Oryzias latipes: one gene and its partner. The protein of the gene in region 2 purifies or fractionates together with the protein of the main gene of each other region. This does not show direct contact. Links are inferred from orthologs where the notes say so. Each region holds a gene or a part of one and is shown on either strand. Other genes may lie near its edges.

Region 1 (4,448 bases), on a different chromosome or scaffold from region 2:
CTAAAGTGGGAAAACATCTTTTCTCAGAGGTTTAAATAGTCCTTAATCTGATGTAATGTTAAGAAACACACATTTTTTAGGTAAGATTTTCAATTACCAATGTGCACCGAATTCAGAGAATGACCCGTCTAGCCCCTGATATCAATCATGTCCCAATATCCAACGGCATCGAAGGCCCACCCCAACGTAAAATGAGGCTGTACTCCGAAAGTGAAAATTCAGAATTGAAACTGTAAACCGAGGACTGAAGGTGAAGAGCAGGCGGCGACCCAGTGGGTCTTTAGAGACAGTCGGCGTCAGACTAACCTTCAGTGGGGTTGGCCGGCTGGTCCTTGTTGATAGCGGTCTGGATGTTGCTGAAGGACGCAGGGGGAGCAAATTGTTGCAAAACACCGATGGCGTTACAAAACTGATCTGCAAGCTGCCCACGCAAAAGCAGAACACACAGTTCAGACCGAGCTGAAGCCGACCTGCACCACACATCCCGAATAGATTCATTTTATGTTTGAAACACAGACAGAAAGGTCAAAACAATCAAGCTTGGATTATAACAAAGCACAGCAGGAAATTCTACTCATTGGAAATGAATGGATATTATATTAAACATTTCATTTTAAAAACATTTTTGGTATAATTGTCTTCCATTATTCTTTATCTGGCTGTATGCAAATATTTCAAGCATTTTCAGCAAGATTTTGGTTTTATTTAAGACGGTTAAAATCTTTCATAGAGAAAAGAGAATTATGAAGTAGTACACTTCTTGTAAGTTAGAATATTTTTAGGTTTTTGCTCCTTCTTCATGTAATCATATGTATTATGCCCTTCAGGCATTTATTTCGAAATGTCATGAAGATTAAGTGTAGGGGTTGGAGTGCCTGAAGTTCAATATTGTCATATGTTATATACATATGTATATCTTTAGTCCATATGCTAGTAAGAAATGTCATCCGGCTGACCTAAACAATAACAGAACGGTTGGCCTGTACCACCACACATCATGATTCCTATAATATTCCAGCTAAATGAGCAAACAAGCTGCTTAGTGCTTTCAGGAGTTTCCTGATAGAGCTACACTAAAGGATGGCTAGCATGCTAAGAACAAATGGGACTCTAACTTTGTTTGACAGCATATTTTGACCGGCAGGATTAGGATAAGTCTCAAAACGAACAATTTATAGGGTAACTTCCTGGTTTGGGTACCTTTTTAAATAATTTCCACTTCCTTTCATGCGTCTTCAACTTTAATTCCAATCTACTTCAGCATTTTGGCAAACAGCTTCAGCAAACACCAAGTAAGTAATGCTATTTATTAAGTTAGCATTAGCATTGTTAGCTGCTGTGATGTTACGCCCTCAGTAAATAAATTAGGAAACAACTTCCATTAAAACCTATATATAATGCACATTTCATATTTAAATGTATATGTGACAGTCTTTCTATATCACAATTTTTGTCAAATATTTAACATTTTTATTTTACCGAGTTGACAGCATCTTGTAGTTGCGTTAGCCGGTCCGCCATATTTACCTGTATTTGACAAAAGTCCGTCGTCAACTATCGCGAGAGCATTGACAAAATCTCGCAGAAATTGACGTCATTTCGGAAGACAAGATAGCTAAAGAAAGTTAGCCCGTCAACAACCTTAAACCTGTTATTTTAGACTTGAATACCATAGAGACTTTTGCGAAATTCATTTTTTGTACTTTAGTATATTTTTTTATGTCTTAAAGAAACAAAGTTTAAGTTTAACGTATAATCCGATATTCGTGTTAGCATAAGCATGATGTTGCTATTCTGAGCTACAACATAAAATATCAGGAAGAAGATCTATTTTCTGGTTGCACTTTGAACTCTTCAGGTAAGACCACTTCAGTGTTAAATTAAGACACCTTTACATGCTTTGGTACACTGTTTATGAGGTACGTTTGTATGTTTTGTTGGAAAATTTGTCAGGATTTAGAGAGCAGCTTCGTTAGTTGTAACTACTTTACTACTACGTAAGCAAAGACATAATTAGCTGTTTGTTTCTGCTTGCTTAATTTTTTTGTCATAAGAAAGTATATTTCATGATCATAAATCTCCTGCAGTTCGACATCCTCTTTTTTCCCCTTTTAAACTGTGACACATTCGTTAACATCCTGCTTTAGTGGGTGAGCAGGAGGGTCATACCCGGTAAAGTTACATTGTTTGGTGGTGGCAGTGTGATGGTATGGGGCAGCATCTCCTGCTCGTTATTACTGGAGGAAATCTTGATGTAGAAGTTATACATCGAATTCTGCTAAAATAAATATTTAGTGTGTTTTTAAACCTGAATTACCCAAACACGACATTGGCAAAATTAGATGCTTAGCAGCGAATGTTCAACCAGTCATGATGGGTGCATTTCATAAACGGAGCTACGTATTCCCTTAAACTCTAAACAAAGATTTAAGATAAGTATTGTAACTAAAAAGTAATCTGCTTAAAACCAATTTCCCTGCTTTTTGTACTGTTTACATCACTTTCTATCATTTAACTTTCCATCTTAAATCTGTAAGACGCTGAGTATCTTAACGCTAATGTGTAAGTAAATGAAAAATGCAGGGATCTACTACTCTTTACTTCCAGATGTTCATTACTCACCACAGTAATTAGGTTTTTATCTCACTAAAACTGAACAAACAGAAAGCAAAAGAGTAAAACAGTTTTATGAAGGAAATTGCCCAATTTGTTATATTACTTACAGACTTGAACTCGATGTTTTTTTTCTTCTTAAGTTTTCACATTTCTTTAAAACCAGATTGATATTTTCTAAAAAATGTCCTGCTCATCGATTTTACTTTAATGTTTTCCCCTTTAGACATGAACTGTACGTTAGAGAAAGTCCTGGCAGATGCTAAGTCCTTGGTAGAAAGGCTCCGTAACCATGACAACGTAGCCGAGATGTTAATCGAACAGACAACATCTCTCAACAAGAGGGTAGAAGCCATGAAACAGGTAAGATTCTGCTTGGATTTTGATGTTTTATTTTATTTTATTTTAAATATTTTCCTCATGAGCCGACTGACGTCCTGCCCAGGATGAACCGTGCCTCCGTCCAACAGCTGCAGGGATAGGCTCCAGCAACCCTGAGACCCCAAAAGGGATACAAGAAAATGGATGAATAGATTGATTTTCCTCCTGAAAGCAAAGTTAACTGTACTAAAGCTTTTTGACCACTGGGGGGCAGCATCCTTTTTAGAAAAGTGTGATGTAAATTTTCTCTTTTTTGTTTTATTTCTGCTGTGAGAAACTAGAGAGCTTAGTGCCTGATCAAATCATGAGTTAGATTGAAGGAAACATTTATTTTAAAGTCAATATATTAAACTAATATTGAAACAGAAAAACAAAAAAGTATTTCTTTCTCTGTTAAACCAGATGTGAAGTATCATTCTGTGTTTGCAGTACCAGGAGGAGATTGATGGACTAAACCAGGTCGCACGACATCGGCCTCGTTCCAGTCTGGTGTTAGGAATCCAGCAGGAGAACCGTCAGATCCGAGAGCTGCAGCAGGAAAACAAAGGTGGCTGTTTGTCCGTTGGTTTGTCGGGAAGTGTCTGTGGCTCAGAACCTTTTATTTGTTCTTCCACTTTACCTTGATAAAGCACCAAACCAGTGAGTGTTTGTCATGCAGAGCTACGAACATCTTTAGAGGAGCATCAGTCTGCGTTGGAACTCATCATGACCAAATACAGGGAGCAGGTTTTTAGGCTCCTCATGGCCAGCAAGAGGGACGACCCCACCATCGTCACCCAGCTGAAGGAGCAGCACACAACGGTGAGAGGAAGGAGCGCCCTGCTCCTTTGATGAAGCAGGTCAAAGGTTATCAGCAATATGCCCAAAAAAACAAAATCTCCCATTTTTTGGCACCAAATTTGATTCCTTATTTGAACCCAAAAGGACATAAATCCAACAAAAACCGTTTCATTTTAACGTCTCCTTAGGAAGATGGCCTAAATTTAGAAGGGCAACTAAATCCAAGCTGTGAAAATGTTTGTAGATCAGTGCGGCAGGTGTTTTGCCGTTAGCCTGAAGAGAAACATCTTCTCGCACTCGACAGCTTCAGGCGTTGAATGTTGTTAGCAACAGCCTTCAAACTGGTTTTGCACACATGGGGTTTGATGCCTGAAGTCCCAAAACTAAACCAGTTTCATAGACCTGAAGAAACGGTTTCTGTTTTGGGAACAAGCTAGTTAACATTTTAACGAGAAACGGGGGCAAAAGCTGAACTTTACCCCGGACAGCGGAAGCCAAAGTGAGCAGGATGCTGAGAAAATTCAGAATCCAGGTTTATTCCCCCCAAAAAAATCTTTTTAAACCCCAAATTTAAGGTAATACGTTTATTGCCCAGCCCTGATGTCGTGTGTTTGTTTGGATCAAATATTCGAGCTTTTTGAGTTTTCCTCATTTCTTCTCTGTGTTTGTAGGAA
Region 2 (3,822 bases):
ATATATATATATATATATATATATATATATATATATATATATATATATATATATATATATATATATATATATATATATATATATATATATATATATATCACAGAATCTCGACTCCAGCGGTGGTGTGGCACTATGTCACGGTTACGTGACAACGCGCCGCACCACGTAACAAATAGTCCGCTTTTTGTGAAAAAAGCAATCCAAATCGGGACAAAAACAAGAATTAAAGACTAAAAACTGGTTAAGATTTATTTCTTTTGTAAGTGACTATGGCCTTCAAAGTGTGCATTATCACTTTTTTATTAAATCTTGTAGAGATTTCTTTCACAGATTAAGATATTTCTAGTGTTTCCTAATGCTAACAAAAAACCTAAATGTTTGTATCTAAAAATTGTTATTTAAGAAAAAGTAAAGACTCGATTTGATGAATGAGGTGGAAAAGCAGATTTGCAGCGAGACAATCAGTCTGTGGATGTGCTAAAGTCCAGGTTGCTCTGATCCAGGCGTTTTCTCAGTGGTTGGGTGTGGCGTCTCTCATTTCCTCTTTTCAAAACTTCTCAGATTGTCTGTTAAATTTAGATCAGCTGAGTTTGCTAAACAATATCCAATCCAGGGTTTGGTTCAGCTGGGGAAAAAGAAAATCAGTAGAAGGGGGTATGAAGAACTCTACAACATCGTGTAGATGGCATGGCTCCTCAAACCACCTGCAAGTGAAGAACCTCTACAATCAACCTTAAACTACGAGGACTCTGTCTTCTTTCTCCAGACTCTGGGATCTTCATGTTTCAAACTGTCCTTTCCTCTGACCTAATCCAAAGAATGTGATGGTTGCAGTCCATGTCCTACATCCTGAGGTGGCTCTTCCATTCCACAATTAGCCAGCCTCTTGTTAAGCTTTCTAAAACGTCTCCACTTTGCATGAAGGAGACAGCACTCTGTGAGAAACCAGCTTCTTAAGCAACGAGCTGGCGTGTCTTACCTAGCTGGTGAGGGGAGTCACTGATCATCATCTGGTCAAGTCCAACAAACTCCTCCAGACTGTTATCAACCATTTAGAGGCTAAGAAATCCGAAGTGTGACAGTACAACACTTCAAAATCAAACTTCTGTTGCCGTAGTTTCTGAAGAAGTGAATTAGGGTTGTACCGATCGGGATGTCAGTCAGTCATCACGATGGACGATTTCATCAAATCGAGTCTTTCATCGTGGATGAGTCATTAGTTGGGAAATAAAATAAATTAAGTAATAAAGTAAAATCACAAATAATAATTGTATAATAACGAAAAATTAAAAATACGGGGGGTGAATCTGCTGCAAAAGGTCAGCATCAAAACTACAAACATGAAACAATCATAATTGTGATAAACAGAAAAAGAATAAATGAATTAGTCTGAGAGCTATCAGGGGATGGTATCATACAGTCTGTCCTTTTTTTCCCTCTTCTTTTTCAGGTTACAACTAGTAAATCAAAAATATGAAGACTTTGTTTAAAATATATATCCCTGATTTAAAAAAAATCTTCCATTTTTAAAACGTAATCCGACATTCGTGTGTATTCATAAATCTGAAGGCTTGACAATCAAACTCGTGGATGGACTCATTGTGAGATAAGAAATGGGTCATATATAACCCGAACTTGTCTGTCAGTGTTAAGTTCACACTTACTTTCCGTCTTTGAAGTATATTTTGAGGGTGTCGCTGAAACTCTTGGAGTATTTCACAAACTCCCTTTTCTGGTTCTCCAGAGCCTTGAAGAGAAGAAAAACCTTTAGAAACGAAGCTTTTGTGTTGACCGGCTGTCTTCTGGGGTTCCTGACTTACCCTGCGGTTCTGGTACTGATATTTCTTAATGACGTTGTTGACCGTATCCAGGAGCTCTTTGATGGCGCTGGCTATGTCTCTGTGAATTACAGTTAATACAGATTTAAATACAGGAAAAGTAAAAAGCGCATTTAAAGGAAGTATTTAAATGCATTTCATAAATTTCACAAAAACAAATCTTTTTTTACCTCCATGACGCATTTCCCTAAACGACTATATCTGTCCAACAAACAATTAAAAAATATAAAGCCATAAATTAGGTCAAATTCCCCTTTATTTTATTTTTTTATGAATTTGTTGAAAGACCTGGATTTGCCTTAAACGTTTGCTTCCACCTTTGATCATCCAAGAAAAGTATGATATCCTAACTGTTTCCTTGAAAGATGATTAGAGAGTGAATTATTATAAAATTCAGGTCCCCCTGCCAGGACTCGAACCGGGGGCCTTCTTGCTGTGAGGCAAGAGCGCTAACCACTGCGCCACCGTGCAGCCAAAAAAATATAAAAGGCATGAAAAAAAGAGTTTAATGTAAATTCAGAAAGTTATTACAAAAAAAGTATTAAAACTTGCAATACCCAAAAAAAAAATAATAAAAAAAAAAAAATACCCAAAATAAATAAGAGTCACTTCCGACTTTTCTTCTACAGAAGAAAAGTCTTATTTATATAGCGTATTAGTATACATTTTAAATATATAATATATATTTGAAATATATAAGTATTTCAAATATTTGTTATATATTTGAAATATATAACAAAAGCCTTTCAAAATAGAGCCAGAGGATTCAATGACCCAAAGCCTCACTAGAATCTCTACATTTCATTAAATTGTGTTTTTAGATGAAGTTTTTTTTTCTAAGGCTTGTGCCTGTAATTTAAAGATGGATTATTCAATACTGATACAAATTTGGAGTCCAAAGAGAAAACCATTTGGTTCTGCATGCACTCTGATTCTCCTGCAGATCACCACTGAGACTGGGAATTGTGGGGGGTTGATTGCTTTAGCTTTCATTCTGCTGCTCGCACTCACTTGATAGTTTGTAGGAAGCGTACTCTGTCGTTGATCTCATCTGGGATTTTGCTAAGGATGTGCTTCAGAGCTCGGGCCTTCTCGTTCAGGTCCTGGAACTCCTGTTCGGGCCGGTCAATCATGAACTCTGCAGCGAAGGGGAATTGAACACACATTTCCAGTAAGTTACTAAATAAATACCTGGAGGAACTTCAGAAAAGATTTACATAGAAGGAATGTATTCAGAACTCTTAAAGACAAAGAAAGGTGTTTTTTTTTCCCTTTTGGGTATCTGAAGCACAGAAATGATGTCTATTGTATTTCAAAGAACTGCTGTTGTGGGAAACTCCTGATTATAATTCAAGGTGTCCTTATCAAAGCATTTCAGGATTAAGGACATTCAGCTGAACGTGTGCAATACAGTTACCACTGTGTCACTAGTTTTATGAAATAAAGTCCAAGCAACTAACTAATTTTGAATGATAGATGTTAGAAACATGACTGTTGCTTTCTTGCAAATGGTTAAAAAAAACAGCTGAAAATGTAAAATTTCAAAGGGGTTTACCTTTAAAATCACTACAGAATGATGGTGCCATCAAGACTAATACAGCAATATTAATGCGTCATTCAAACCCGAATGCAGGTATTCAATTTGGTGAATTTTTGGCTCCCCAGAGCTTCCGTAGCGTTTGTTTCACACGGCAGTATGGCAAGCGACAAACAACAACATCATAGCACAGACGAAACAGCAAGCCACAGCATGGCTACCAGTGAGAGTGGGAAGTTTGATCCCAAGACAGGAATAAAATCATCTGTTGTTTGGAACTGGTATGGGTTTGCTGCCACAGACGTGGAGGGAGAGACCCCATGCTGCAACATTTGGCTAAAGCCCATCGCAGTCCCGCAGCGTGCTGACACACATACACATTCTACAACACCTATATAGTTAGTTCATTGGCTAAATAGTAGATAGTTGTCACTGTTATTTGTTAAC

Evidence for each region.
Region 1: the proteins of pdcd10 (region 2) and fgfr1op2 purify together in Homo sapiens (affinity purification with mass spectrometry; 3 studies listed by BioGRID and IntAct, counting the BioPlex papers as one, with this or other methods). This does not show direct contact. The link is inferred for Oryzias latipes from reciprocal best matches to the Homo sapiens genes PDCD10 and FGFR1OP2.

Annotation. Positions count from the first base shown.
Region 1 is NC_019881.2:3,910,207-3,914,654, forward strand, and holds the start of fgfr1op2 (FGFR1 oncogene partner 2), read left to right. Parts: upstream 1-1,568; 5' UTR 1,569-1,858; intron 1,859-2,839; 5' UTR 2,840-2,841; coding exon 2,842-2,976; intron 2,977-3,423; coding exon 3,424-3,541; intron 3,542-3,652; coding exon 3,653-3,795; intron 3,796-4,445; coding exon 4,446-4,448. Other genes in the region: med21 (mediator of RNA polymerase II transcription subunit 21), read right to left, coding at 307-421, 1,480-1,521. UniProt on the Homo sapiens protein: May be involved in wound healing pathway.
Region 2 is NC_019880.2:9,003,714-9,007,535, forward strand, and holds part of pdcd10 (programmed cell death protein 10), read right to left. Parts: intron 2,977-3,822; coding exon 2,850-2,976; intron 1,900-2,849; coding exon 1,821-1,899; intron 1,748-1,820; coding exon 1,665-1,747; intron 1-1,664. UniProt on the Homo sapiens protein: Promotes cell proliferation. Modulates apoptotic pathways. Increases mitogen-activated protein kinase activity and STK26 activity. Important for cell migration, and for normal structure and assembly of the Golgi complex.